Linked DNA regions of Saccharomyces cerevisiae S288C. The gene in region 1 interacts genetically with each later gene. Each region holds a gene or a part of one and is shown in the gene's direction. Other genes may lie near its edges.

Evidence for each region.
Region 2: mutations in RIM9 (region 1) and SRP40 together harm fitness more than expected from each alone (negative genetic interaction), as found in Saccharomyces cerevisiae (2 studies listed by BioGRID).
Region 3: mutations in RIM9 (region 1) and HRI1 together harm fitness more than expected from each alone (negative genetic interaction), as found in Saccharomyces cerevisiae (2 studies listed by BioGRID).
Region 4: mutations in RIM9 (region 1) and AZF1 together harm fitness more than expected from each alone (negative genetic interaction), as found in Saccharomyces cerevisiae (2 studies listed by BioGRID).

The regions. Positions count from the first base shown.
Region 1 is NC_001145.3:393,481-401,013, forward strand, and holds RIM9 (Rim9p), read left to right. Parts: upstream 1-3,596; coding exon 3,597-4,316; downstream 4,317-7,533. Other genes in the region: cleavage polyadenylation factor subunit RNA14, read left to right, coding at 1-1,308; ARG7 (glutamate N-acetyltransferase), read right to left, coding at 1,574-2,899; AEP1 (Aep1p), read left to right, coding at 4,423-5,979; KAR5 (Kar5p), read left to right, coding at 6,222-7,533. UniProt on the Saccharomyces cerevisiae protein: Required for the proteolytic cleavage of the transcriptional repressor RIM101 in response to alkaline ambient pH, which is necessary for sporulation and invasive growth.
Region 2 is NC_001143.9:607,547-615,443, reverse strand, and holds SRP40 (Srp40p), read left to right. Parts: upstream 1-1,558; coding exon 1,559-2,779; downstream 2,780-7,897. Other genes in the region: DNA-binding protein SRL3, read right to left, coding at 3,179-3,919; PXL1 (Pxl1p), read right to left, coding at 4,378-6,498; TGL4 (triacylglycerol lipase), read left to right, coding at 7,079-7,897. UniProt on the Saccharomyces cerevisiae protein: Not known; weak suppressor of a mutant of the subunit AC40 of DNA dependent RNA polymerase I and III.
Region 3 is NC_001144.5:726,463-734,092, forward strand, and holds HRI1 (Hri1p), read left to right. Parts: upstream 1-4,362; coding exon 4,363-5,097; downstream 5,098-7,630. Other genes in the region: ECM38 (gamma-glutamyltransferase), read left to right, coding at 1-1,589; EXG1 (glucan 1,3-beta-glucosidase), read left to right, coding at 2,493-3,839; YLR302C (uncharacterized protein), read right to left, coding at 5,729-6,091; bifunctional cysteine synthase/O-acetylhomoserine aminocarboxypropyltransferase MET17, read left to right, coding at 6,080-7,414. UniProt on the Saccharomyces cerevisiae protein: Unknown. Non essential.
Region 4 is NC_001147.6:530,677-537,319, forward strand, and holds AZF1 (Azf1p), read left to right. Parts: upstream 1-3,398; coding exon 3,399-6,143; downstream 6,144-6,643. Other genes in the region: YOR111W (nucleotide diphosphatase), read left to right, coding at 1-451; COPI-interacting protein CEX1, read left to right, coding at 832-3,117. UniProt on the Saccharomyces cerevisiae protein: Transcription factor involved in the diauxic shift. In the presence of glucose, activates carbon and energy metabolism genes, and in te presence of glycerol-lactate, activates genes needed for cell wall maintenance.

The DNA.
Region 1 (7,533 bases):
AACGTTACTAATGGATTGAAAAGGGCATCTCCAATTAATCTGCGCACAGCAAACAAGAAAAACATACCACAACCAGGTACCTCAGACTCAAACATTCAGCAGTTACAGATTTGGTTGAATTGGATAAAATGGGAAAGGGAGAATAAGTTGATGCTTAGTGAAGATATGCTATCACAAAGAATCAGTTACGTTTATAAACAAGGTATTCAATACATGATATTTTCTGCTGAAATGTGGTACGATTATTCAATGTATATATCTGAAAATTCGGATCGACAAAATATCTTATATACTGCGTTATTAGCTAATCCCGACTCACCTTCTCTTACATTCAAGTTATCCGAATGCTACGAACTGGATAATGATTCTGAAAGTGTTTCTAACTGTTTTGACAAGTGCACTCAAACTTTACTATCGCAGTATAAAAAGATCGCCTCCGATGTAAATTCGGGTGAAGATAATAACACAGAGTATGAACAAGAGCTGCTATACAAACAGAGGGAAAAATTAACATTCGTGTTTTGCGTGTATATGAATACGATGAAAAGAATATCAGGACTATCCGCAGCACGTACTGTATTTGGTAAATGTCGTAAACTGAAGCGTATATTAACACATGACGTCTACGTGGAAAATGCATATTTAGAATTTCAAAATCAAAACGATTATAAGACTGCTTTTAAGGTTTTAGAATTGGGTTTAAAATACTTCCAAAACGATGGAGTTTATATCAACAAATACTTAGATTTTTTAATATTTTTAAATAAGGATTCGCAGATCAAAACCTTATTTGAAACATCAGTGGAAAAAGTGCAAGATTTAACCCAGCTGAAGGAAATATACAAGAAAATGATAAGTTATGAATCGAAATTCGGTAACTTAAACAACGTTTATTCTCTAGAGAAAAGATTTTTCGAACGGTTCCCCCAAGAAAATTTGATTGAAGTTTTCACAAGTCGTTATCAAATTCAAAACTCCAACTTAATAAAGAAATTAGAGTTAACTTATATGTATAATGAGGAAGAAGACAGTTACTTTTCTTCTGGAAACGGGGATGGCCATCATGGCTCTTACAATATGAGTTCGTCAGATAGAAAGAGACTAATGGAGGAAACTGGAAACAATGGAAACTTCTCCAATAAGAAATTCAAAAGAGACTCAGAGCTTCCAACAGAGGTTCTTGATTTATTGAGCGTTATACCAAAACGTCAATATTTTAATACAAATTTACTCGATGCGCAGAAATTGGTGAATTTTTTAAATGATCAAGTAGAGATTCCAACAGTTGAGAGCACCAAGTCAGGTTAACATTACGTTAATAAATAGGTATATATGAATATTTATACCAACACATCTATTATAATAGGCGAACCTCTGTATGTAATTAAGTAAAAAAAAAACGATGTGACAGGATAGTTAAGGTGCCTCGTACATAAATAAAAACGGAAATAGTTAATTCTTTCAAAAATATGGCAATAGCCAAACTCATTCAGAAGGTACAGGAAACACTCTGTTTCTGTGCGTTTATATAACCATGCTTATAAAAGAAAGATTGAACAAAATATACATGAATTTATGAACGGTAATCACCGTTAATTGTTACATATTCATGTGATAAATCACAAGTCCAAAATTGTGCTGCCTGATCACCGGTTCCCAAGTCGACAGACACTTCCAAATCATTCAAAGCCAATATTTCAGAAGCCCTTGTTTCATCGATCTCCAATTGTGGCACACCATTAGCGACAAGCTTCAGCTCACGAGGTTCTGAATTGTCGGTAGCAATAAAGCTAACATTAATTTTGTTGACATCTAGAGATTTTAAGTCATTCAGCTTTGCATACCCGATCGCGCACAATATTCTTCCCCAATTGGCATCTTGCCCATATAGTGCGGTTTTGACCAACATAGAGTTTGAGATTGATTCAGCAATTATTTTGGCGTCTTCAAAATGCAAAGCATTTTTAACGTTAACAGTAACAAACTTTGTCGAACCTTCACCATCGCGAACGACTAACTGGGCCAAGCGCTGAGCAAATTCTGTGACCTGCAATTTTACTTGTTCAAAATCTTTAGAGTCTTCGTTAATTTCTTTGGTGTCAATAGCACCGTTGGCCAACATGCAAATTGTGTCATTGGTGCTCATATCACCGTCCACCGATATACAATTAAATGAACGGGTAGTAGCGAAAGTCAGCATCTTCTGCAACGCCTTGCTTTCAATAGGAAGATCTGTAACTATGAAACCTAATAAGGTAGCCATATTCGGACAAATCATACCCGCGCCCTTTGCCATACCTGTCAAAGTATACTCAGTACCACTAGGTAATTTGAATCTAGATGTAACTAATTTTGGGAAAGTATCAGTAGTACAGATTGATTTGGCTACGTTCAACCAAGAGTTAAAATCACTGCCGAACTTTTCTTCTCCAAAAATTTTATTGATACCAGTGCTGATCTTGTCCATCTGTAGTCGTTGTCCAATAACGCCTGTAGACATGACTAGGGTAGAATTTTTTTGACCAATTTTATCGTTAACCAAATCAATCATTACTTGGGCATCTTTCATACCAAGATCACCTGTGACCGAGTTAGCACAACCGGAATTGACTACAATAGCGTTGATGTTTTTACCACGAGCAGTTTCAAGGACTTTTTTCGATGTCAAAACTGGCGCAGCTTTGAATTTATTGGTCGTGAAAACAGCTGCTGCGGTTGAAGGACGAGATTTATTGGTATTCAAGATTACACCCAGGTCCAGGCTCCCGTTTTTTTTGACTCCAGATGCAGTGTAGCCTACTTCAAATCCTTTAGGAAAAGAGCCCGTCTTGGGCACGTATAATGCATACTTATCTATAAGCTGCTTCGAGCGTTGAAGCAATGTTGATGATATTCTCATGCTATGTTGAATTTTGGACTTCTTTAAATAAAGGGAATAGAAGTATTGCTGATACTAGCCCAAAAATCGTCACCTTTGTGCGGCGAGCCGAGGATGAGGCTTTTATATACTCGACGACTAAAGAAGTTGGCAACGAATTACGCAGTGAGTCATCCTACCTGTCCATCGCAGTAGAAAAAGACCTTCGCCAAGAAAACACCGTCAATAATGATTGCTAAGCACTCTCACTTAGTACTACTATCAACGCTACCTTCAATTTGGGTCTAACCACGGCCCTATTGCATCACTACTCTCTTTATTCTATGATACAGCGTGGGGGTGAAGCCAAGAGCCCTGTGTTTTACTTCAGCATACCAACAAAGTATAAGATTACTTTTGCTATACAGCGATGAAAAATGTATTTTAATGTTTGTAAATTTATGATCTACTGACACGTCTCAGACAGATCACATTTACAACACAGCATGCTATGACTATATACAAAACATGACTTTTCTTTATCACTAAAAGTAACTGCCAATTTATTGTCGAATCTCGCTATAGTTTGATTTTCACCAGCGGCGCGCGCAAGTATAAGCTAAGAAACAATGAATATAGATAGATAGTGATGAGCGTTGAGAACCGGGAAATGAGTAGAGACGTCCTTCTAAACAAAGATTTATACGGTTGAGACAGATTCATTGAGGAAAAGAGGAGAATGGTTAGCATGATCCATATTGTGGTGTTTTTGCTAGCAATCACAACCATGTTCGAAATACTTCCGCTAATAACCGTCCCCGTGACCAAGTACCTATCGTTATCGTCATTCAGAAACCACTATTATGGCCTGTTTGGCTGGTGTGTACGTGGTCAAAACCAAGAATTGATGTGCACGAAAATGAAGATAGGATATGACAGTACAGATGTCGACTCCTCCGGGCACGTTTTGACCCTGCCATCGAACTCAAAAGTGGTCGTCTCCAATTTATTAGTGGTTCACCCGATTTCACTGGCATTCACAGGAACGCTATTAATTTTAGCAGTGATTATCATGGTAACTCCACTAGGGGACTCACCTGAGATGTTATTGTTCACGGCCCTTTTTTCGCTGCCAACGTTCATGCTATGTCTTTTATGTTTTTTGGTAGATATTCTTCTGTTCATCTCCAAACTGGACTGGCCCGGCTGGCTAATGCTAGCCGCTACTATTAGCGTAGCACTTTGTTGTTCCATGCTGTGGGTCATGAGAAGAGTTGTGTCAGTCAAAAAATATGAATCGCAACAGTCAATTGCGCATGCGTGCTCAATGGAACAGTACTCAATTTCCGACATTTACCAGAGTAAACAGAACGGCAATAGCTCAGAATATGAAGTGGCTCCAACACATACAGATAGTCTGATTGCTCCAGAAGTGACATATAGAGGGTTCATTGAATAAGTAACATCATGTGTCATTTTGCACGTTACATCGGTTTGCCAATCGGCTTCCAAATATTTGTACATTTTTTTCTTCCTCCATCACTATCTGTTAAGGGTCTTAGAAAATGATTACTACAGTGCAAGAAATCAGCAAATGGAGAAACCTGTGCTTCATTAGGATGCAATCTCGCAAATGGTACCCAGTACTTAAAAAGACTCCTTTAGTAGCGGACGGTCGAAAGATCATTAAACATGCCGATAAAGTTCCTCATCCGGAAGAAATAATTCACCCATTTTACCAACCAACAGCAATAGAACAATTCACGGCATGCGCTACGGAATACAATCCTAGCCTGCTTGATGGCAAAAAAATTGCTCCATCACTGATAAAACACCCGGTGAGCCTAAAAACCATACTAGTTGATAGCAAATTAAAGTTTGATGATATTAGGGGAGTGAATAAATGGTTGATGGAATTCGTTGCAAGACGACAACATCAAAGAAATATTGTACTTACACCTGCGAGCAAAAGCGTTAGATCTTTTCACGTTCTGCATTTGTCTTCAACCGATATTGCCAAATTAAGAGGTCTTGAAAATATATTATCAGAGATTGAAAACACGAATGATTTGCAATCCAGGGTCGAGTCCGTAAATAATGAACTACAGAATATTTTTGACCGCGACAGTAAACAGACAAGATTATTTTGCGAGAATATACTGGCTTATTTGATAAAGAATTATGGAAACTCGACTGAAAAACTTATACTACTAATAAATGTTACTGAGATGCAATTATATTCACGTTTAGACCAAATGAAGGCCATGAACATTATTTTATATAATATCCTTTGTAAAGTGGAAGCAAATGAAAACCCACCGTACAGTCCCACATTGGTTACCGCACTAGAAAACCTATTGGCAGCGATCAACAACAGATTTTTTCCAGGGCGTTGCGAAAATTCATTGCACCCAATAGTAATTGAACAACTATTATCATATTTCATTAAAACCGGCAATTTGAATGAAAGCAAAAATTTTTTGGGCCATTTAATAAAAAAGGGTATTTTACCAGAGGCTACTATCATTAATAGATATTTGGAGGCAATTGATGTTCATTTCGATAAAAGCACTAAGATTTTTGATATAAGATCCAAATTTGCATTCATAGCAGATCTTGCACCCATAATAGAAAATTATGGAACAATAGACCTGTTCAAATTTTTGATACCTATGTGCCGGCATTTCGACGAATTGTGTTCTCTGCTAAATATTATTCGAAAATCCAATAACGCAAAACGGGCTGTGGATAGCACCTTACCTATTTTTATCAAAAAAGTATTAACATTTACTAAAGATCCAATGATCAACTCCGGAAATCTATCCACTGTTTTCAATATAGTGAGCCCAATATATGGACAAAACGTGCCCAGCGAATTCGTGGAGAAATTTATACTGTCTTTTGCACTTCAAGGAAATTACACTATGATGGCTCATATGATAGATACATATAAGATCAAACTAAGTCATAAATACCAACTACAAATTATTAGGGCTCTCAAAAATAGTGAGAGAAATCACGCGCTTAAGAATACGGGCGCTGTAGGTTATAATAAGGAATTTAAAAAGTACTTCATCGAGAAATATTTGAATTGCACTGAACGAGAAGCTTTACGCCCATAAATCGTCTATATTAAAAAAAAGGCAGCATAAGAGCAACTCACTGCAAAGGGAATTGCGCATTCCACGCAAATAAACAATGTAAATAAGAATACGTACTGTAACTGTGTCACACTAGCGGGTTGTTTTATCATAATTGTTTGGGATTAATCCTGAACAAATTTTCTATATATAAACACTGGTTCGGAATACCAATGAAGTATACATATTCTGGTTCAACAACTGTTTCTATTCAAAAACTTTGAATGTTTGAAATGCGCTACGTCTATTTGTTTGCAATTTGTATTAAGTTTGTTTCAAGCTCCGAACTAGGAAAAATCAACAATCTGCTGCAAGGAAGATTGATATACACAGATAATTCCGTTGCGACAAATGTATTAGAATCCAAATTTCCATTCTTGAAATCAACATGTGTTAAAGACGCACTAAAATTATTTTTGCCACAATGTATTGCAAATGGACTTGAATCCATTGACGCTGAAACAAGGGTAGAAACGGCCATTAAACTTTCAATATGCGAGTTTCAGGCATCTGGCTTGGGCGAAATACCAGAAAATTGCATGGTTGACGACCTAGGATCAATGATGGATTGTATGTTTGAACTAGAATCATCTTCACAGTGGTGGACAACTTATAGTGGAAATTATCAGCGACTATCGAGTATTTGTTATGAAAATCTTCTTCCTTTTGAAAAAGAACAGATACTGAAACTTTTTCTAAATATCACTGAACTTTATGATTCATTTGGGGATGATGTCGATACTAAGTTAAATCATCTGATGTTTCAAATGGAGCAAGATTCTCAAAATTTTTTGGACGATCTGGCCAGGATGTTCCGCAACTATGACAATGAACTGCGAAATGCGACCGAAAGCAATCGAATAATCTTAGAAAACGACCTCTCATTTTTTAGAAATAAAGTGAATGATGTACTCTATGAAACTTCCGAACAACTAGAGGTCCAAATCATAGAGAAGAACAGTCAACTAATGAATGAAGTTGATACCGTCCATCATATTATGAGCGATCTAGCCGATGAGCTTGCTAAAAATGACATAAAATCTAAGATAAATGACTTGAAGGACGACAGCCTGAATAATTTACAGGACCTAGTGGAAATGTCCAACGACGTAAAAGAATATTACTCTAGAAATAACAAGTTAGTTAATACCGAGTTGGAAAACTTCTCGATGGGTTTAAAAAAACAGTTAGGAGGCATGTCAAAGGATCTTTCTGAATCACAAATGGAAGCTATAGAGCTCTTGCAAGGGTTCAATTCCATCCTTCATGATTCATTGTTACCATCCATGACGGATGAGATAGTACCTGAGATGACGAACTTCAAAAATACCTTACTACAAGAATGGACAGCTATAACATCTACACTAAATGGAGATTTTGCTTTATGGAATGAGGAGATTTTTTCAACTTTTAATGATATTTCAGAGAAACTGAATGGCACAAAAAAAAAATTAGACGACATTGAAATCAGAGTCTCACTTGTCCATAAAAATGTCATGACAATGATGAGGGTATTGGATTTTATGTGGAAAACTA
Region 2 (7,897 bases), on another chromosome or scaffold:
AGAAAGGATGATAGATGCAAGAAGTAAGGCCAATCAAAGAGCAAGTCACTCTACACAGCTATCATATGAGGGGAGTGATCGCCGTACAGATAAGAAACCCAACTTTTTTCAAGACGCCACCGCTTGTGTAATCGCCATTATATCGAGGAAAGCCCTGCGAACGTGAAGTGAAAAGGACGGTTGTCCTTTTTCCTGTTCTTCGAGGATCCTGAACAGGATGTCAGTAGGGCGGGCCTTTTCTTTTTATTGTGCAGGTACGCATGTTTCTTTGACACAAAATAGTCTGGATTCGCCAGCCAGTGGCACTTTTGATGCCATTTCCACCACAGAAAACGTCTGAGTATTCAGCCATGGGAGGGGAGTGTTGAAAGGGGAGAAGCAGCCCACTTCTCTGTCTTGACACAAACCGCAGATTGCGTCACGGTTCTGCGGACGCCGTTAGCCCATTGGTGTCAAGTTATTGCGGGATTTTTTGGTGCCGTACGCCGGAGCCGACGGAGGTAAGTCAGTTCGCCGCTGCCTTCGGCGCCGTTATCTTATCTCGCCAGAAAACTCTTAGCTTTTCCGGGAAAAAAAATGAACAATACTGATTGCGTTACCCCAAGCTTATCCCACGTAGTTTTGTGTCTCTTTCTTGGGCTCTTGGCGGCCGTACGCATATAGTATACTAATGCGGTAACGGCTACCTCCTACGTCTGTATCAAAAAAGTTCGCTCTGGTCCTATCAATATTTTCTCCCACACGAGGATTCTGTGGTTTTGCAGCCACATCTACAGGATGTTGACTTTTTGTTTGTTTACGTAGTTTGTTTCAACGCTTTCGAAGATGTGGCGCTGGTGCAAGTCATCTAAGTTGGTTACTGATAACAAATTGTGACAAGGATGTAGTGGATGCGTAGGAGACCAAAATGACATCTGACACAAAAAAAAGTAGATAACGAAAACAGGACAAAGGTGTCATTTTGTTTTGCCAAGGAGAATTATAATCTTAGTGTGAAGATACTTTCATTAGACACATAAATTTACGTTCGACACACTTTTTTCTTACTCCTCCCCTTATCAAGGATACCTGGTTGATTCTACGTCGTCCTCTTCACTTTGGTTAATTCACCTTTGCCCTTCACCTTGTGGTGTGCGGGTGTTGCAGTCATTAATGTTCTTTATCGCGAGAGGGGGTCTACATAATCTTGTTTTTTCACTCCAATAAGGCAGTTATAGTGAATTTGTTTTATTACAGAAGGTGTACCCTTCGTTCGAGTTATTTTACTCTTGTTTTGTAGTTTGTACATCTCTTTATGTCTGGATCAAAACGATAATTCGAAGCTTATTGCAATTTAGTTCTCTTACCCATTTCTTTACAACGGGCCGAGAAAAAGTGGAGTTGGTCCGAGGAAGCTTTGAACGGGAAGAGGAAAAAACCTTCCCATCGCTCGAGCATACAATTTTTTTTTTTTCAATGCAGGCTGAAAAAAAAAAATTCACTTGATGATTGAACTCATCGCACTTTTATACAAAGCAAGAAAGAAACCCAAGTCGCAGTACACTAAGAATACATAGCAATGGCTTCCAAGAAAATTAAAGTTGACGAAGTGCCAAAATTAAGTGTTAAGGAGAAGGAGATTGAAGAGAAATCTTCTTCTTCTTCTTCCTCCTCCTCCTCCTCCTCCTCCTCCTCTTCTTCTTCATCTTCCTCGTCCAGTTCTAGCGGCGAATCTTCAAGCAGCAGCAGCAGCAGCAGCAGCAGCAGCAGCAGTGACAGCAGTGACAGCAGTGACTCTGAATCTAGCTCATCATCATCTTCTTCTTCTAGCTCAAGCTCAAGTTCCAGTGACTCTGAATCTTCTAGTGAATCCGACTCTAGCTCCAGTGGATCTTCTTCTTCCTCTAGCTCTAGTTCTGACGAATCTTCTTCGGAATCCGAATCAGAAGATGAAACCAAGAAAAGAGCAAGAGAATCAGACAACGAAGATGCTAAGGAGACTAAAAAGGCTAAAACTGAACCAGAAAGCTCTTCCTCATCGGAGTCAAGCTCTAGCGGGTCATCGTCATCTTCAGAATCAGAATCAGGTTCGGAATCTGATTCTGACTCAAGTTCTAGCTCAAGTAGTTCTTCTGATTCCGAATCAGATTCTGAATCAGATTCTCAATCAAGTTCTAGCTCCAGCTCTAGCGACTCTTCGTCTGACTCCGACTCCAGCTCCAGCGACTCTTCATCTGACTCCGACTCTAGCTCCAGCTCTAGCAGCTCTTCCTCGGATTCAGATTCGGATTCCGACTCAAGCTCGGACTCAGACTCTTCAGGCTCGTCCGATTCTTCAAGCTCGTCTGATTCAAGTTCCGACGAATCTACATCTTCTGATTCCTCCGATTCGGATTCCGACTCAGACTCTGGTTCTAGCTCTGAATTGGAAACAAAAGAAGCAACTGCAGACGAATCCAAGGCCGAAGAAACGCCTGCCTCATCTAACGAATCAACTCCATCTGCTTCCAGTTCATCAAGCGCCAATAAATTGAACATTCCTGCTGGAACCGACGAGATCAAAGAGGGCCAAAGAAAGCATTTTTCCAGAGTAGATAGATCGAAGATTAATTTCGAAGCTTGGGAGTTGACAGACAACACCTACAAAGGCGCGGCTGGAACATGGGGTGAAAAGGCAAATGAAAAATTAGGTAGAGTAAGAGGTAAAGATTTCACGAAGAACAAAAATAAAATGAAGAGAGGTTCTTACAGAGGTGGATCCATTACATTAGAAAGTGGTTCATACAAATTCCAAGATTAAAAGAATAGGAAACATAAAACAAAACTCGTTGTCTGGAGTAATCTCCTTTTAAGTTGTAGAGTAAACAAATTGTAATTATAGCAACGATAGAAAAATAATAGTAATAAAGACAATAATAATAGTAACAAAAATGGTAACAGTAATATTTTGTATTGTTTTCCTTTGAAAAAAGAAAAAATAAATAACCTGGTATATAGGTAATCGCGTCACTAAATAATTAAGCATTCAATAAAAGTTTTTTTTAATTATTTTTTTTTTTATGTTTTTGGCTCCTAGAGGTGAATATTTTCTTTTTCTTTCTTCGCAGCTATATACTAAATATTAGTGATATAAACAGCAAGAACTATAAACCTAAAAGTAGCCAAAGCCATGTATATATGCGAAACCCGAATCATTAGTTCAGTCCGATGAGGACATCTTCAATAATGTATCGATAGCAACAACTTCTTGTAAAGAATTCTCCTGTGTACTTTGCGTTCTTCTATGAGATGACCAACGTAACGGCGAAACGTTAACGTTGTCTACCCTATTGCTTTTGGCATGTTTGGACGAAATTGCCTTCAAGAACGCTGCATGAGCGGATGAATCTTCCAGAGAACTCAGAAACTTTTTGGATTCATCTAACGAGTGACAGCGCCTATGCTTAGCGGCAAATTTATTACTATAAGAGCCCTTTCGTATCTTTTCCGTCGGAGGTGGAGGAATCAAAGCTACTTGCTCATGTTCCTTTGATAGCTTAACCATTGCGCAGTTGAGTCTTGATTTTAGCGTGCGTGAAAACTCCCGTACGGAATCGTCATTCTCTTCCTCGATAACCGCTGTGGGAGAAACCAATGGGGGCGTGGGGGATGGAAACATTTCTGCATTCTTAGACCTGGGTGTTGTAGGTGTTATTGGTCCTGGAAAATGAAATTGTACGTTGTATTGATATGTGGGATCCTCATTGCCATCGGGCGAAGGGGCAGATGTAGGAGAATCTTGCGCTTCACTTATTGAAGTTTTGAAATATTTCCTTGCCGGCGTCGCCAGAAGGCTGTTAGATTCAGTATCCAGGTTGGGAGAGATCAATTCGTTTATCGTTAAGACTCTCGATTTGGGAGTCTCATTTACCGTTTCCCAATTAGGTGTCTTAAGAAACATTATATTCGTCTATTATTTATCCGTTTGTGCTCAGGTTCTTCTTCCATCCTCTTGAAAATACAATAAAATAACGAAACATTTCATTGCTTAGCCTTTCCTTAAATAAATTTCCTTATTCTCTATTCTTAGGCTCCTGTTCCCTTTTTAGCTTTTAGCCTTTAATGCACCGGTACGAGAATGTCCAAAAATAGAAATTCGCTACAATTAAATGACGCGTAAAAAAACAGTTAGAGGTAGTTGTTGAGAAGAAGACAACGTAGTGAATATGAGTGAATGATGTCTTTATAACTAACTAACTAATGACGACTAATGTTGTTGATACCATAGATAGGCAGATGCCTTTTTCCTGCGCTATACAATTTATAAATGAACAAGGCTGGCTAATAATATAAAAAATCAAAATCTTATTAAGAATGTTATGAAACATGTGTGCTAGGAAAGACAAATGGGTAGTGATGCTAGTTGAAGTTGATGAGCCTCGTTCTCCTTTTAGAGAGAGTATTGTTCTTATCATTGCTTGATGTAGCATTGTCGATACCTTCCTTCAAGAGAGCTTCCATGTCGTGATTACCGCACAATGGAATTTCCCCATTGAATATATAATAATCATTAGTAATGGCAGTCTTGCATAAGAAACAGTTTAGACAATCCACGTGGAATCGTTCCACCTTATCATTTTCCAGACATTCACCCTCTATGAAATTTGAACAAACCTTACAAATACTGTGATTCTCCTCGTGATAGTGCTTTTGACAATATGGTTCATCGCCTAGAATATAACAGGGAACATGTTTATTGAATTTGATACCACATTCAATGCATTTAAAACATTCACGATGCCATTGACCCGACAGTTCGTTTTCCTTTTTGGAAAACATTCTTTTCCCTGTGACTTCCAAGCCGCATGCTCTGCAAGGTCCCTCCCCAGGCGGATATTTAAACTCAATGGGCTCCGTTTCTTTATAATCTGCATCAGAGCTGTATCTCGTAGTGCCGCCGTTAGGTAATACATGAGAGTCATTAGATTTGGAATTATCAATTTCTTCTCTCAGATCTGTTATGTTGCGCTTATGCTGCAGTTGTAGTGCTTCAATTGTGGGAAGTTTCGTTCTGAAAGTTTCTTGCGAACCCATCCCTTCATTATTGGAGTATTCTACGTTCGACTGTTTAAACTTGTAAAAAATGGGTGTGCCACCATTAGTTGTAGATTCAGATGGCGCGTCTTCATCGACATCGCCTTTATCTACCAGAATAGTTTGTCTGGATAAGTTCGTATTGCTGTTTTGCACAATTGATGTTTGCTGCGTTACGGGTATATCCATGCTGGGATACCCAGATAAATATGCGCTTGACTTTTTGAATCTAGAAGCCTTTCTGTCCACTGCGTTGAGGCAATTGCCGTTCATATCGAGCTTTGCATTTCTAGATAGGGAAACATCGTCTAATTGAGCAATCAATTGTTCGACTTGGAGGTTCGTAGCAGTGTATGGTGTTTCCACGTTTTCTGAAGAAGTTATTGAAAGACGTTTCTCATTTAACCCATCAAGACTTAAATCTTCAACTTTTGTTGACGATGATGACACACCAGGTGATTTCTGTTCCTTTGAAGATTCCAGGCCAGAAAAGTTATCATCAGGATATATTTTAGAGTCTAGTGCGTTCATGGTTAAAGATGGTGTATTACTTTCCCTCGTAACATTAATTTCCGGAATTTTAGGTTCTGTATTCTTTTCCTCTTGTTTTGCTTCTGGAAAATCATCTTGAAGTGGTTCATTTTCAAGATTCATCTGTAGTTTAGGATCTGGTTCAAAATTTAGGCTTTCAATATCATTCTCATCCTCCTGCTGTCCTTCACTTTCATATTCGATTGAACTTTCCTCTTTTTGCTGTTCTTTTCCGAGTTTTTGGTCGAGCACACCTCTGTTATCGGTTTGGTTCATAGAATTTACAACGCTTGCAGTGTCATTTTGAGTCAGCATCATGAAACTTCTTTCAATAGGGCTCAAATCTTGTTCCCTTTCAGTATTACCAGCATCTTCTTGTTCGAAGTTGAAGGGGAAGTTATCTGCGGCTTGGAATTCCTTGTTAGCAGGTGATTTACATGTATGCCTAGAGGCAGCATATTGTTCCGCCTGACGGTCTAAGTCGCGTTCAAAACGGAAGGGATCCTCTTGCGAAGCACGCTCGCTGGGCCTGGAAATAGAACGAGATATGTCACTGGGTCTCGAAGACGTAAAATTGCTATTCTTTGGAGGAGTTACACTCCGCCTCTCGCTATTCTCCAATACGGGAGGCGGATAAATGTCAGACTCGCCCTTTACAGATGAATAAGCACTCTTTGAAGACGCCGTATACGCACTCTTCATCGTGACCGGAACAGATGGGGCGGCAGATACATTTCTTTGACGGGTTATTGGCGGCGACTTCACGGAAGCTTGTAAACTTCCAGTGGAAGCATTCCTCTGACTACTGAACGGATTACGCGGCTTAGTGTCAAACCCTGCTCTTTCTAGAGCAGTTTTGTAGCGGACCTTCGGATTTATTTTAGGGAAGGGGGACCCGTAGATTGAGTTATACATTGACTTGAGCGTTTCTTTTGCTAAATTTATTCTTGTTTTTCCCCTTACGTTATTCACTATAAGCTTTGAAGAAGCTTGAAAAAAATTCGGCTATAATATCCTATTCTAGCTGTATAAATTAAATATTCAACACAGCAGAAATATATTTTAAGGCTACCTCTTAAATTTGCAACACTCCAGCTTTTCTATTATTATTATTTACTTATTTTTTCATGTTTCCTATTATTCATGGAATTGAAAAAGGACGCGAATTGAAAATTTCGAAAGAAATAGGGCTAGGCGCTTCAAAAAGTCATTAGGTTTACTTACCAATATTAGTAGGTTAAATATTAGAAAAAAGGAAAAAAGATCTTAAGGGGTTTAAAAAAAGTAGGGTAAACTAGGGCTGACATATTACCCCTCTTATACGATAATTGCGACTATGAAACGCTAAACCACAATTATAAAGTATGGTTGATTCAAATTGTCATTATGTCATTATTGTACTCGTAAAAGAGGCCTGTATTCAAGTATTTGATCAAAAAAATTAGCGCTGTAATAATTATTGAAGGGAGTACAGGTATATGTAATAAAAGTCTGAATGAGCAGCAAAATATCAGATCTTACATCTACACAAAATAAGCCCCTCCTTGTTACGCAACAACTAATCGAAAAATATTACGAACAGATCCTGGGCACTTCCCAGAACATAATTCCTATTTTAAATCCGAAGAACAAGTTTATTAGGCCCAGTAAGGATAATTCAGATGTTGAAAGGGTGGAGGAGGATGCTGGTAAAAGACTGCAAACTGGCAAGAACAAAACTACGAACAAAGTAAATTTCAACCTGGATACTGGAAACGAGGATAAACTTGACGATGACCAAGAGACAGTAACAGAAAATGAAAATAATGATATCGAGATGGTTGAGACAGACGAAGGCGAAGATGAAAGGCAAGGGTCATCTTTAGCCAGTAAATGCAAATCATTTCTTTACAACGTTTTTGTGGGAAACTATGAAAGAGACATTCTTATTGACAAAGTCTGTTCACAAAAGCAACATGCGATGTCATTTGAAGAATGGTGTTCTGCGGGCGCCAGATTGGATGACCTCACTGGGAAAACAGAATGGAAGCAGAAATTGGAAAGTCCCTTGTATGATTACAAGCTAATAAAAGATTTAACATCTAGAATGCGTGAGGAGCGCTTGAATAGGAATTACGCTCAATTGTTGTACATCATTAGGACGAATTGGGTACGAAACCTGGGAAATATGGGGAATGTAAACCTATATAGGCACTCCCATGTAGGCACCAAATATTTAATTGACGAGTATATGATGGAGTCTAGGTTAGCGCTAGAATCTTTAATGGAGTCTGATCTTGATGATAGTTACCTTTTGGGTATACTGCAACAAACG
Region 3 (7,630 bases), on another chromosome or scaffold:
CTAACGCTGCAGACGCTGCAGTAACACAAGCTCTTTGTAAGGGTATGGTGAATTTTTTTAATAGTGGGATTGGAGGTGGTGGCTACGTAGTTTTTTCTGGCAAAGACGATGAAGATCATCTATCCATTGATTTTAGAGAAAAAGCACCCATGGATTCACATAAGTTCATGTTCGAAAACTGCTCTCTATGCTCAAAAATAGGGGGTCTTGCTGTCGGTGTTCCAGGTGAATTGATGGGTCTCTATCGCCTCTTTAAAGAAAGAGGTAGCGGCCAAGTTGATTGGCGTGATCTAATTGAACCAGTCGCAAAGCTGGGAAGCGTGGGTTGGCAAATAGGCGAAGCACTCGGTGCCACTTTAGAACTTTATGAGGATGTTTTCCTGACATTGAAGGAAGATTGGTCGTTTGTATTGAATTCTACCCATGACGGTGTTTTGAAAGAAGGCGATTGGATCAAGAGGCCGGCACTATCTAACATGCTAATGGAACTGGCTAAAAATGGTTCCGTGGCCCCATTTTATGACCCCGATCACTGGATTGCAAAATCCATGATTGATACTGTCGCAAAATACAATGGAATAATGAACTTGCAGGATGTTTCATCGTATGATGTTCATGTTACTAAACCACTGTCCATGAAAATTAGGAAGGGCGCCAATTTCATCCCTGATAACGATATGACCGTATTAACAAGTAGCGGCTCAAGTTCCGGGGCTGCACTACTTGCGGCGTTAAGGATAATGGATAATTTCCAGAATCAAGAAGGGGGCGATTATGAAAAAGAAACTACCTATCATTTGCTTGAAAGCATGAAATGGATGGCAAGCGCAAGAAGCAGGTTAGGCGATTTTGAAGGCGAAGCATTACCTAAGCATATAGAAGAGGTATTGGATCCAGAATGGGCTTTGAAAGCAGTGAAATCAATCAAAAGAAACTCTCAAGACGGAAATTTTAAAACTTTAGAAAACTGGACGCTTTATGATCCGGCATACGATATCAATAACCCGCATGGAACTGCCCACTTCAGTATAGTAGATTCACATGGGAATGCTGTTTCCTTGACAACCACCATCAACTTGTTGTTCGGTTCCTTAGTACACGACCCAAAAACCGGGGTGATCTTCAATAATGAAATGGACGATTTCGCTCAATTCAACAAATCTAATAGTTTTGAATTGGCACCCTCCATATACAACTTTCCCGAGCCCGGGAAAAGACCCCTATCATCCACTGCACCCACTATTGTGCTGTCAGAATTAGGCATCCCAGACCTCGTGGTCGGCGCTTCCGGCGGCTCAAGAATCACTACGAGTGTTTTACAAACAATTGTGAGGACGTACTGGTATAACATGCCTATATTGGAAACGATAGCCTATCCACGTATACACCACCAGTTACTGCCCGACCGCATAGAACTGGAAAGCTTCCCCATGATCGGTAAAGCCGTACTAAGCACTCTCAAGGAAATGGGATATACGATGAAAGAAGTATTTCCCAAGAGCGTAGTTAATGCTATACGCAATGTCAGGGGAGAATGGCATGCGGTGAGTGACTATTGGAGAAAAAGAGGAATCTCCTCCGTATACTAAGATGTGGGGTAAGAATGGTACTGTAATATAGTTCAAGATAATAGTACGTAATGTAGGGAGCCTGCTTCTGTGGTATATAAATAAATACTGGGCTTGCGTTTATTTTTAAAGAATCAATATTTACTTTTCATTAACAAAGGGCATACGCCCTTAAAACAAAACAAAAAATCCAGATCATGCGAGCTTTGCCTTTTTCAGTAAGTTTCCCTACCTTGCAGCCGAGACGCGACTTCGGAACGATGCCAGCATACGTATTTACCATTATTAAAAAAATCTGATGGCTTGATACTGCGCGTTTCTTTTTATAGCATTAATACGCACACATACGCGCATTGTTGTTTACTATAAATAAACCGTGGGGACCTGACCCAGTCATCCTCCCTGTGTTTACAGTGCGGTGCACACGAGCCTGAGACAAGCCCGTAACCAGGCGCGTTGCCGCAAATACAGAGGCGCCCCAGACAACACCGCAGTGTGAAGCACTGTCAATTTAAAACCGTGGCTTGCTGGAGATGCCCAGACCAACCCTGTTGGGTTTTTCTCTCGAGCACGCCGTTATAATTTTAGCGTGTTCCGTACCTGTGTGCACATCAATAAGCGGTGTAACAAACTTGAACTTGCCATCTCATATCGTCATATGAGCAGTTGCAGAGAAAGGCACTTTAAATAAAAAGGCGTGGATGATAAAAAATGTATATAAGTTGGATGGATTTTTGGGAAAAAGTAATGTTTTTGCAGACGTTTTAAATACTCCCTCCCTTTTCTTAGTAATTTTTATTATGTATTGACTAAGTCAAAAATAACTATAGAAAACTAAAGTTTACGAGAGGACCCAAAAGTTTTGAATAACACGTGCCTTTGATTTTTTGTTTACTTTCTTTTTCTAGTTAATTACCAACTAAAATGCTTTCGCTTAAAACGTTACTGTGTACGTTGTTGACTGTGTCATCAGTACTCGCTACCCCAGTCCCTGCAAGAGACCCTTCTTCCATTCAATTTGTTCATGAGGAGAACAAGAAAAGATACTACGATTATGACCACGGTTCCCTCGGAGAACCAATCCGTGGTGTCAACATTGGTGGTTGGTTACTTCTTGAACCATACATTACTCCATCTTTGTTCGAGGCTTTCCGTACAAATGATGACAACGACGAAGGAATTCCTGTCGACGAATATCACTTCTGTCAATATTTAGGTAAGGATTTGGCTAAAAGCCGTTTACAGAGCCATTGGTCTACTTTCTACCAAGAACAAGATTTCGCTAATATTGCTTCCCAAGGTTTCAACCTTGTCAGAATTCCTATCGGTTACTGGGCTTTCCAAACTTTGGACGATGATCCTTATGTTAGCGGCCTACAGGAATCTTACCTAGACCAAGCCATCGGTTGGGCTAGAAACAACAGCTTGAAAGTTTGGGTTGATTTGCATGGTGCCGCTGGTTCGCAGAACGGGTTTGATAACTCTGGTTTGAGAGATTCATACAAGTTTTTGGAAGACAGCAATTTGGCCGTTACTACAAATGTCTTGAACTACATATTGAAAAAATACTCTGCGGAGGAATACTTGGACACTGTTATTGGTATCGAATTGATTAATGAGCCATTGGGTCCTGTTCTAGACATGGATAAAATGAAGAATGACTACTTGGCACCTGCTTACGAATACTTGAGAAACAACATCAAGAGTGACCAAGTTATCATCATCCATGACGCTTTCCAACCATACAATTATTGGGATGACTTCATGACTGAAAACGATGGCTACTGGGGTGTCACTATCGACCATCATCACTACCAAGTCTTTGCTTCTGATCAATTGGAAAGATCCATTGATGAACATATTAAAGTAGCTTGTGAATGGGGTACCGGAGTTTTGAATGAATCCCACTGGACTGTTTGTGGTGAGTTTGCTGCCGCTTTGACTGATTGTACAAAATGGTTGAATAGTGTTGGCTTCGGCGCTAGATACGACGGTTCTTGGGTCAATGGTGACCAAACATCTTCTTACATTGGCTCTTGTGCTAACAACGATGATATAGCTTACTGGTCTGACGAAAGAAAGGAAAACACAAGACGTTATGTGGAGGCACAACTAGATGCCTTTGAAATGAGAGGGGGTTGGATTATCTGGTGTTACAAGACAGAATCTAGTTTGGAATGGGATGCTCAAAGATTGATGTTCAATGGTTTATTCCCTCAACCATTGACTGACAGAAAGTATCCAAACCAATGTGGCACAATTTCTAACTAAGTCGCCCTCAGTCCGCTCATTTTAGCTGAATTTTCTAATGTTATTTTTCATCAGCAAAACTTAACAGAACGTTAATTTATCTACCCCTTTTAGTTCATTATCTCTTTTTTATCCAACATTTTACAGAGATCTCTCACTTAAGTCTAAGTAAAGACATTATTTTATATGGTACACTTATAGAATATACGATAATAATAATAAAAACTATGTAACATAACCTTCAGAATTTAATATTAGTTTCCTTTTTACCTCATTGCACTAATAAAAAAATTCTACAGAATCTCCGAAAAAGAAAATCCAGCTTACTCTTTTTGTTTTCTTCTTCACACGTGAGCTTTTCCGCCGGCATACGTTCCGTTCCGTGTCGTCTTGCATAAAATTTCCGAATCACATGTTCGTAAAACAACCGGAAGTGCCCCGAATATAAAGTCAATTCTCACCGCTGTTGTAACTGGAGCTTTAAGGTGTTATCTAAGGAAGGATAAAAGAACTTAAACAACAACAAACAAAAAATTAAGTTACAATGCCAGCATTATTAAAAAGATTATTGTTTCAAGTGGGTCCTCATCCAAACGAAAGAACATTCACCTTATCCTCTGTTTCAACTGATGGGCACTATATTTCCTTGAGACCATTTGTTAAGCCAAGCGGTGATGAGTTATCTTTTCCTTTCGAATGGGCCTTTGCCGGTACAAACGAAACAGTTAAAGCTAATGATCAAGGAAACGGTGTCGTTACTCAAGATTTCAATTTCTGGTTGGATACAAATGTGTACTTGAACGTTCCAAACACCCATCGTGGCGAAGTGAACACCACTTGGAAAAATTGGGATTCTGGTTGTGTCGAGGAAACAGGCGCTGTTTACCCATTCGGTGCCGACAAAGAAAGCGTCTCTTTCAGAGAATTGTGGCAACCAGTTGACCCATCAAGAGAAGATCTAGTCATCGTCTCACCAAACAATGAGAAGTTCTCGTCGAATGCTAGGTCAATTGTCCTCAAAGTTACTGACGAAGCTTATGATGGTTTGGTTATTGTTATTGGTAGATGGATTCAAGGGTTTTTGTCCCAAAAGAATAATAACACTATTGAAGGCTTGAACTTCATCAGATTACTTGAAAAAGATTCAGGTAAATCTGAGTTCTTATTAAGCTACGGTAAGGAAGTAAACAAAATTCCACAAAGCTACGAAAATTTGAAGAAAGGTTCCACTGTAACCAGCAATGGGTTGAACTGGGAAGTTATTGAATATCACGCTTAATAAAGGAGAATAAATCGTTTTCTACTTTCTTCTGCTGCTATAATAAGCACCTATGGGATCTATATAGTATTTTTATAACGATAGACTTTATAAAAGAAAATACCTAAGTGAAAATTTGGTGAATTTTGAGATAATTGTTGGGATTCCATTTTTAATAAGGCAATAATATTAGGTATGTAGAATATACTAGAAGTTCTCCTCGAGGATTTAGGAATCCATAAAAGGGAATCTGCAATTCTACACAATTCTATAAATATTATTATCATCGTTTTATATGTTAATATTCATTGATCCTATTACATTATCAATCCTTGCGTTTCAGCTTCCACTAATTTAGATGACTATTTCTCATCATTTGCGTCATCTTCTAACACCGTATATGATAATATACTAGTAACGTAAATACTAGTTAGTAGATGATAGTTGATTTTTATTCCAACACTAAGAAATAATTTCGCCATTTCTTGAATGTATTTAAAGATATTTAATGCTATAATAGACATTTAAATCCAATTCTTCCAACATACAATGGGAGTTTGGCCGAGTGGTTTAAGGCGTCAGATTTAGGTGGATTTAACCTCTAAAATCTCTGATATCTTCGGATGCAAGGGTTCGAATCCCTTAGCTCTCATTATTTTTTGCTTTTTCTCTTGAGGTCACATGATCGCAAAATGGCAAATGGCACGTGAAGCTGTCGATATTGGGGAACTGTGGTGGTTGGCAAATGACTAATTAAGTTAGTCAAGGCGCCATCCTCATGAAAACTGTGTAACATAATAACCGAAGTGTCGAAAAGGTGGCACCTTGTCCAATTGAACACGCTCGATGAAAAAAATAAGATATATATAAGGTTAAGTAAAGCGTCTGTTAGAAAGGAAGTTTTTCCTTTTTCTTGCTCTCTTGTCTTTTCATCTACTATTTCCTTCGTGTAATACAGGGTCGTCAGATACATAGATACAATTCTATTACCCCCATCCATACAATGCCATCTCATTTCGATACTGTTCAACTACACGCCGGCCAAGAGAACCCTGGTGACAATGCTCACAGATCCAGAGCTGTACCAATTTACGCCACCACTTCTTATGTTTTCGAAAACTCTAAGCATGGTTCGCAATTGTTTGGTCTAGAAGTTCCAGGTTACGTCTATTCCCGTTTCCAAAACCCAACCAGTAATGTTTTGGAAGAAAGAATTGCTGCTTTAGAAGGTGGTGCTGCTGCTTTGGCTGTTTCCTCCGGTCAAGCCGCTCAAACCCTTGCCATCCAAGGTTTGGCACACACTGGTGACAACATCGTTTCCACTTCTTACTTATACGGTGGTACTTATAACCAGTTCAAAATCTCGTTCAAAAGATTTGGTATCGAGGCTAGATTTGTTGAAGGTGACAATCCAGAAGAATTCGAAAAGGTCTTTGATGAAAGAACCAAGGCTGTTTATTTGGAAACCATTGGTAATCCAAAGTACAATGTTCCGGATTTTGAAAAAATTGTTGCAATTGCTCACAAACACGGTATTCCAGTTGTCGTTGACAACACATTTGGTGCCGGTGGTTACTTCTGTCAGCCAATTAAATACGGTGCTGATATTGTAACACATTCTGCTACCAAATGGATTGGTGGTCATGGTACTACTATCGGTGGTATTATTGTTGACTCTGGTAAGTTCCCATGGAAGGACTACCCAGAAAAGTTCCCTCAATTCTCTCAACCTGCCGAAGGATATCACGGTACTATCTACAATGAAGCCTACGGTAACTTGGCATACATCGTTCATGTTAGAACTGAACTATTAAGAGATTTGGGTCCATTGATGAACCCATTTGCCTCTTTCTTGCTACTACAAGGTGTTGAAACATTATCTTTGAGAGCTGAAAGACACGGTGAAAATGCATTGAAGTTAGCCAAATGGTTAGAACAATCCCCATACGTATCTTGGGTTTCATACCCTGGTTTAGCATCTCATTCTCATCATGAAAATGCTAAGAAGTATCTATCTAACGGTTTCGGTGGTGTCTTATCTTTCGGTGTAAAAGACTTACCAAATGCCGACAAGGAAACTGACCCATTCAAACTTTCTGGTGCTCAAGTTGTTGACAATTTAAAGCTTGCCTCTAACTTGGCCAATGTTGGTGATGCCAAGACCTTAGTCATTGCTCCATACTTCACTACCCACAAACAATTAAATGACAAAGAAAAGTTGGCATCTGGTGTTACCAAGGACTTAATTCGTGTCTCTGTTGGTATCGAATTTATTGATGACATTATTGCAGACTTCCAGCAATCTTTTGAAACTGTTTTCGCTGGCCAAAAACCATGAGTGTGCGTAATGAGTTGTAAAATTATGTATAAACCTACTTTCTCTCACAAGTACTATACTTTTATAAAACGAACTTTATTGAAATGAATATCCTTTTTTTCCCTTGTTACATGTCGTGACTCGTACTTTGAACCTAAATTGTTCTAACATCAAAGAACAGTGTTAATTCGCAGTCGAGAAGAAAAATATGGTGAACAAGACTCATCTACTTCATGA
Region 4 (6,643 bases), on another chromosome or scaffold:
AGATTACGAAGATGAAAACCCAAATGAAATTGATAAACCTAAGCTTATCATATGTGCAGACACAATTATTATAGATAAGAGTGGGAGAATCTACGAGAAGCCTAAAACAAAAGAGGTCCAAAAGAAGTTTTTAATGAAGTTTTGCTATGAAGATGATGAACCAGTTAACGTTGTCACCGCTGTGACTTTAATTAAATGGTACGGCAGAGAAAACTTTGAATTGGTACCATTCCGAGATGAAACCAAGGTATACTTTGATAACAAAATACCTTTGAGAATATTGGAAGAATATGTAGAAAGCGGAGATGGGCTGGAGGTTGGCGGTGGATTTAAAATACAAGGGCAAGGTGCTATTCTAATTGAAAAAATTGAAGGTGATTACTATAACGTAGTTGGTTTACCGCTCAATAAAACGTTCAAAGGACTCTATGCTGAGGCTAATTCCATATAACCTTCGTTTAGGTTTTCTTTGGTGTTGCTCAGTTAACTATGTTAATCTTTGCAACACCAGAAGAATGAGTGGAACGGATATTAAAGGCCACATTGGTGAATAGATACATGCGCTAAATAACACGGCTATTAACATTCTACGAGACAGTTTTTCGATTGATGGTAAAGAAAGTTTAAAGCAATACGCATTTTGAATTTCACGCTTTCGCGCACATCTTCTATTTTTTTCACCTTCAAAAAGGCCCTTTCTCTTTGTCTGTTTATATTATGATTATATTAAATATAAGTATCTTAAAAACAATAATATCGTCAAGTTATTTAGTCGAGAGTTTGACACTGTTACTATCGTTGCTTTTATTGGTGAACAAGTATCTGTAAGTGATGAATTTTTCCAGCATTTTCAAATCTATTTCGAATTTCCAGTTCCCATACACCATAGAGGAAACTGCAATCACTGAAACCGCCCTTTGGCAATGTTTCGATGGTACAAGGAAGGCAGATTCCTTGCCAGTAACAGTTTTTAAGGCAAAAAGATCTCCAGAAAATGAATCTTTAATTTTAAATGCTGTACACAAGAGCAAAATTTTGAAGATTCCAGGACTTTGTACGGTGCTGGAGACATTTGATTCCGACCCCCAATCCACATTTATTGTTACCGAACGAGTAGTTCCATTTCCTTGGGATAATCTAGGCTCTTTATCTCAAAACAAATTTGGTGTTGAATTAGGAATATCACAATTATTGGCAACTTTAGGATTTTTAAAAAACTTTGTCCTTGGTACGCTTTCTAAAGATTCTGTTTTTATCAATATTAAGGGAGAGTGGGTACTATTTGGGCTAGAACTTTGTTCAAGCAAAGAAGGATTAAGTGCGTTTGAATTTGCCAGTAGAGCGAGGTCATATTACAACATAATTGGCTCACAGTTGCCCTGTGAAGATCCGAATACAATTGATTCAATGGGGTTAGGATTGTTGATAAAGAGCCTTATGGCTCCTTCTTGTCTGCCCAAAGATTGGATTGTCAATGTAAATATGATTTCAGATGGAAAGATAACAATCGAAAACTTCAGAAAAAGGCTAGAAAATACAGAAACTTGGCGTTCTAATCCTTTGATAAACTTTTATCAAGAATTGAGGGAGTTGCATATAAAGGACCCACAGGGAAAATTGGTTGTGATGTCAAACTTGGAAAATTTGTATTTAGAGTCAAGAGAGATTTTCCGTAATTTAACGCCTGGAATGATAGAAAATTTTATTATTCCAGAGCTTTGTGAAATTATAAAATTATTAATGACACAAAGCATCAGTAGTGCTGCCAGCCCTATAGGCATGAACTTCAACGCATCACATAAACTAGTACCATTCTTAGCGATTGTTTTAGACCTAACTTCTGAAACGAACACCTTTCCAGTTGGTTTCAACGACCTTATCACCCAAAGTTTTAAACTGCCAGATAGGCAAGTAAGATTTCTTTTACTAATATACCTACCCAAATTAATAGGTCCATTGAGCAAATCAGAGATCTCCAGTAGGATATATCCACATTTTATCCAAGGTCTGACCGACTCTGATGCCACTCTTAGATTACAAACACTGAAGACAATTCCATGCATTGTGTCATGTTTAACAGAGAGACAACTGAATAATGAGCTACTGAGGTTTCTCGCAAAAACACAGGTTGATTCTGACGTTGAAATCCGAACATGGACAGTCATCATAATAAGTAAAATCTCAACCATATTATCAACGTCAGTTGGTAATCGCTCGAATATTTTAGCTACGGCGTTCACAAAATCTTTGAAAGATCCTCAAGTAAAACCAAGATTGGCTGCTCTTTATGGGCTTGAGAAGTCGATTGAGCTGTTTGATGTGAACACAATCGCCAACAAAATTTTAACAGTCATTGCCCCTGGTTTATTAGATAAAAGTCCCATAGTAAGAGGCAGAGCCAAAATCCTGTTCGAAGAATATCTGGAAAAATTGGAAAAAGAAGCCCAACTTATTCAAACAAACGATAGTACTGCAGATTCGGAAGATGTGAAAGATATTGATTTTGAGAATTACGGTTGTGATGAAGAGGATATGAATAAAGAAGACAATTTGTTAGCCGCACAATTTTTAAATAATTTACGTTTAAATTCTCCCTCAGCAACAACACCAAGTAACATTACCGAGAGCGAAATTGATTCCGCCCAGGATGGAAGTGGATGGGACGACCTCAGCGATACCGATGGCTTTATTACAAATGGTACCACAGAATCCTTCGATGAAACAACAAACCCTGTAACAACCGCAAGCACCCCAAAATTATTCGGAAAACCTATTAAAATTAATAAAAGTTGGAATGATGAGTTGAATGATGATGGCTGGATTCAAGATGAAAGCGGCCCATCAAAGGTGCCTCAAAAACACACAAGGCCACAAAATTCAACGTTGGCAAAATCCATCGCTCCTAGCTCAAGGCTTTCTATCAAGAAGAAGAAAACAACGATCCTAGCACCAAGAAACATTGCTAGTAACTCTACTGTTACCACCAAATCGTCACTGTCCAATAAAACTGCAAGAAGTAAGCCTATAAGTAGTATCCGCGGCTCGGTAACCAAGAAAGGAAATGTTGACGGCTGGGATGATGATGGGGATTCAGACTCCTGGGATACGAATTGGTGATCCCAAGACTTATATAGCCCTACGTATTGTAGAAGGATATATTCAGTGTTAATCGTTATTTAGAAACATTACGCCCGTGCCCCGCGATTTCGCTTCTTTGAGAAGTGGAGGAAAAGAAGGGTCCCTTTAATTCCAGTAGAAATGAAGCATAAGCAAGAAGAGTCATCAGAAAAGGGAACCTTGTAGTACTATAGATGGTCCCACAGAGAAATTAATTGGGACAAAAACAGCTACACAAGCGATATACTTCAAAAGATTCAGATATTGAAAAATTACCAGCCATGCCTCCTCCAACTGCACAGTTCATGGGCCCTACGCAGGCGGGACAAAATGAAAGCCAAAATCAATCATCAGGCGAAGCTGGGGAGCAAAACCAGGAGCATGGGCAAGGCCCTACTCCTATTCTTAATCAAAGTCAACCGGCTTCTTCTCAACCGCAACATCAACAACAAAGGAATGAGTCGATTTCATATTATACAAATTTCAACCAGCCACGATATTCCACGGACGCCTCTATCAACTCATTCTTGAACATATCTGATAACGTACCAGTAACAAGTACAGGAGGACCTAGTTCTGGCGGCGCCTATTCCAATCTTCCACGATTATCCACTTCAAGTACACATCAACCGCCAGACCTGTCGCAAATCGGACGCGGCTTTTCCATTGTAAACAACCTCTTCCCACAACAACAGCAGCTTCAAAATCAGCATCGGCAACAGCAGCAACAACAACAACAGCAGTCGCACCAGCAGCCTCCCTTCAAGACCCCTTCATTTTCGACGGGATTAACGGGAAGTTCTTCTCAATATCAATTTTTACCAAGAAATGATAATACTTCGCAGCCACCTTCAAAAAGAAACTCTGTTTATCTTGGACCTAATGATGGGCCTGATTTTGAATTTTTCAGTATGCAGCAGTCACAGCAACCGCAGTTCCAGCCTAGCAGTAGAAGAGAATCAAACTCTATGAGACCTCCACTGTTAATACCTGCAGCAACTACTAAAAGCCAGTCCAATGGCACCAATAATAGTGGGAATATGAACACAAATGCAGATTATGAATCATTTTTTAATACTGGTACAAACAACAGTAATTCTAATCAGAACCCGTACTTTTTGAGTTCAAGAAATAATTCTTTGAAGTTTAATCCTGAAGATTTCGATTTTCAATTCAAAAGGCGGAATTCTTTTGTTAGAGGTACTTTGGACCATAGCAGCCAAAATGCGTTTATACCTGAATCAAGATTAAACTCACTATCCGTTAACAACAAAGCTAATGGTGATCCTGTCGCGGATAATGTTACCAATAACATGAAAGGAAAAAGTAATGAAGTTGACAATGATGATGGCAATGACAGTAGCAATAACAATAACAACAACAACAACAACAACAACAATGAAAACAACAATGACAACAATAATGATAATAACGACAATAGTATTAATTCCGCCACCAGTACTAATATCCCAAACCAAGAGGACCATAGCCTTGCTTCTACCGATACCACAAGCAATAGTAGGAAAGATCTAAAAGAAATAGAACAAAGACTTCGAAAACATTTGAATGATGAGGATAATTACTCTAGTGCTATATCAAGACCATTGGATAAAAACGACGTAATTGAAGGCAGTGAGGGATTGAACAAACATATAGACGAGTCTGGTATGCAACCTAATATTATCAAGAAAAGGAAAAAGGATGATTCTACTGTGTACGTCAAGAATGAGATGCCCCGTACTGATCCCCCGATGAGTAAAGACAATTCTACTTCTGCTGAAGGAGCAGCAATGGCAAACTTTTCTGGTAAAGAACCTCCTATACCTGACATAAGTTCAGTAAGTGATGATGCTACTAACCTGATAGGTGCAACAAAGGTCGACCAACTAATGTTGATTATTCAAGCAAGAAAGAAAGGTTTCACGGAGAAAGTAAATACCACTCAAGATGGAGACTTACTGTTTAACCAAACGATGGACATTTTACCACCTAAAAGCGAACTAGTAGGTGGTGTGGAGAAACCAAAAGGCACACAAAATACACGAGCAGTTAAAAAACATGAATGTCCCTATTGTCATCGGCTTTTTTCGCAAGCGACTCATCTGGAGGTTCACGTTCGTTCTCATATAGGGTACAAACCATTCGTTTGTGATTATTGTGGCAAACGTTTTACTCAGGGTGGGAACTTAAGAACTCATGAACGACTACACACAGGTGAAAAACCGTATTCATGTGATATTTGTGATAAAAAATTTTCTAGGAAAGGGAACTTAGCTGCTCACTTGGTTACTCACCAAAAATTGAAACCATTTGTTTGCAAGCTTGAAAACTGCAACAAGACCTTCACTCAACTAGGAAATATGAAGGCCCATCAAAATAGATTTCATAAGGAAACATTAAATGCCTTAACGGCAAAATTAGCTGAGATGAATCCATCTGAGAATATTCCACTTGAAGAGCGGCAACTTTTGGAGTACTTTGCGTCCATTTATAAAAATTCAAACAGGGGAATTAAAGGTAGAGGAAAAGGTGTAGGAACCAAAAAATCAACAATTTCCTCACCAGAAAACCATCCTGCGAGCACAATTTTGAATCCAAATACAAATGCAAATAATGCTATTGCTAATGATTCTGAAAATAACGGCAACCCTGAAGGTAACATTGACAGCAGTAGTAACAGCAATCCGGGCTCACATAGTATGATTTCGCCGACGCAAAAAGACATGGGTACGTTGCAATCACAATTTATCCAAAATAATTTTAACAATTCTGTGAACAGTTCGAATCCGTCCAACCAACCAATCATAAACTACAATTACACCACACTTCCTCATTCTAGATTAGGAAGTAGTAGTTCCAGCAATACCAACAATAATAACAGCAACTTTTCGGTAGGTGCAGCTCCGGGTGTATTAATGGCGCCAACCACCAATAATGACTTCAGTTTCAACTTGGATCAATCTAATGATAATGAAAGATCTCAACAAGAACAAGTGAGATTTAAGAACATTAATTACAAAAGCTAGCAGGCCTTAGAGGCACTACCTTTTTTTTTTTTTCGAGTTTCTACACCGTAGTATCTGATTTCATAGTGGTATTCGTCAAACTTAACCCACAAGTGTCACTTTTCCTTTCTTTTTTTCTTTTTCTTGAAGAACTGCATGGTTTTCTAGCTCTTTTTCACTTTTTTGAGGTTTTATTTATCTTGTATTCTTTTTTTCTATTATTTTAAAGGTTCAATTTCTATCGACGGTTTTTTTAATTATATATATATATATATATATATATGTATATAATGAATGTGTAATATTCCAAGTATACGTACCTTGGGTTTATATTTTTTAACTTGTATATTCTTTTACGATAAAATTTCTTCCAATTAACATCCCAGGCCTTGCTTCAATTTATCAATTGGTATATTAACTTTCAACACATTTTGTTTTTGTTTTTATTTTTGTTTTTTTTATTTTTTTTTTTTTTTCGCGTTTCGTGCTTTAATGAAACATGTGAAGTGTTTCGCAATGAC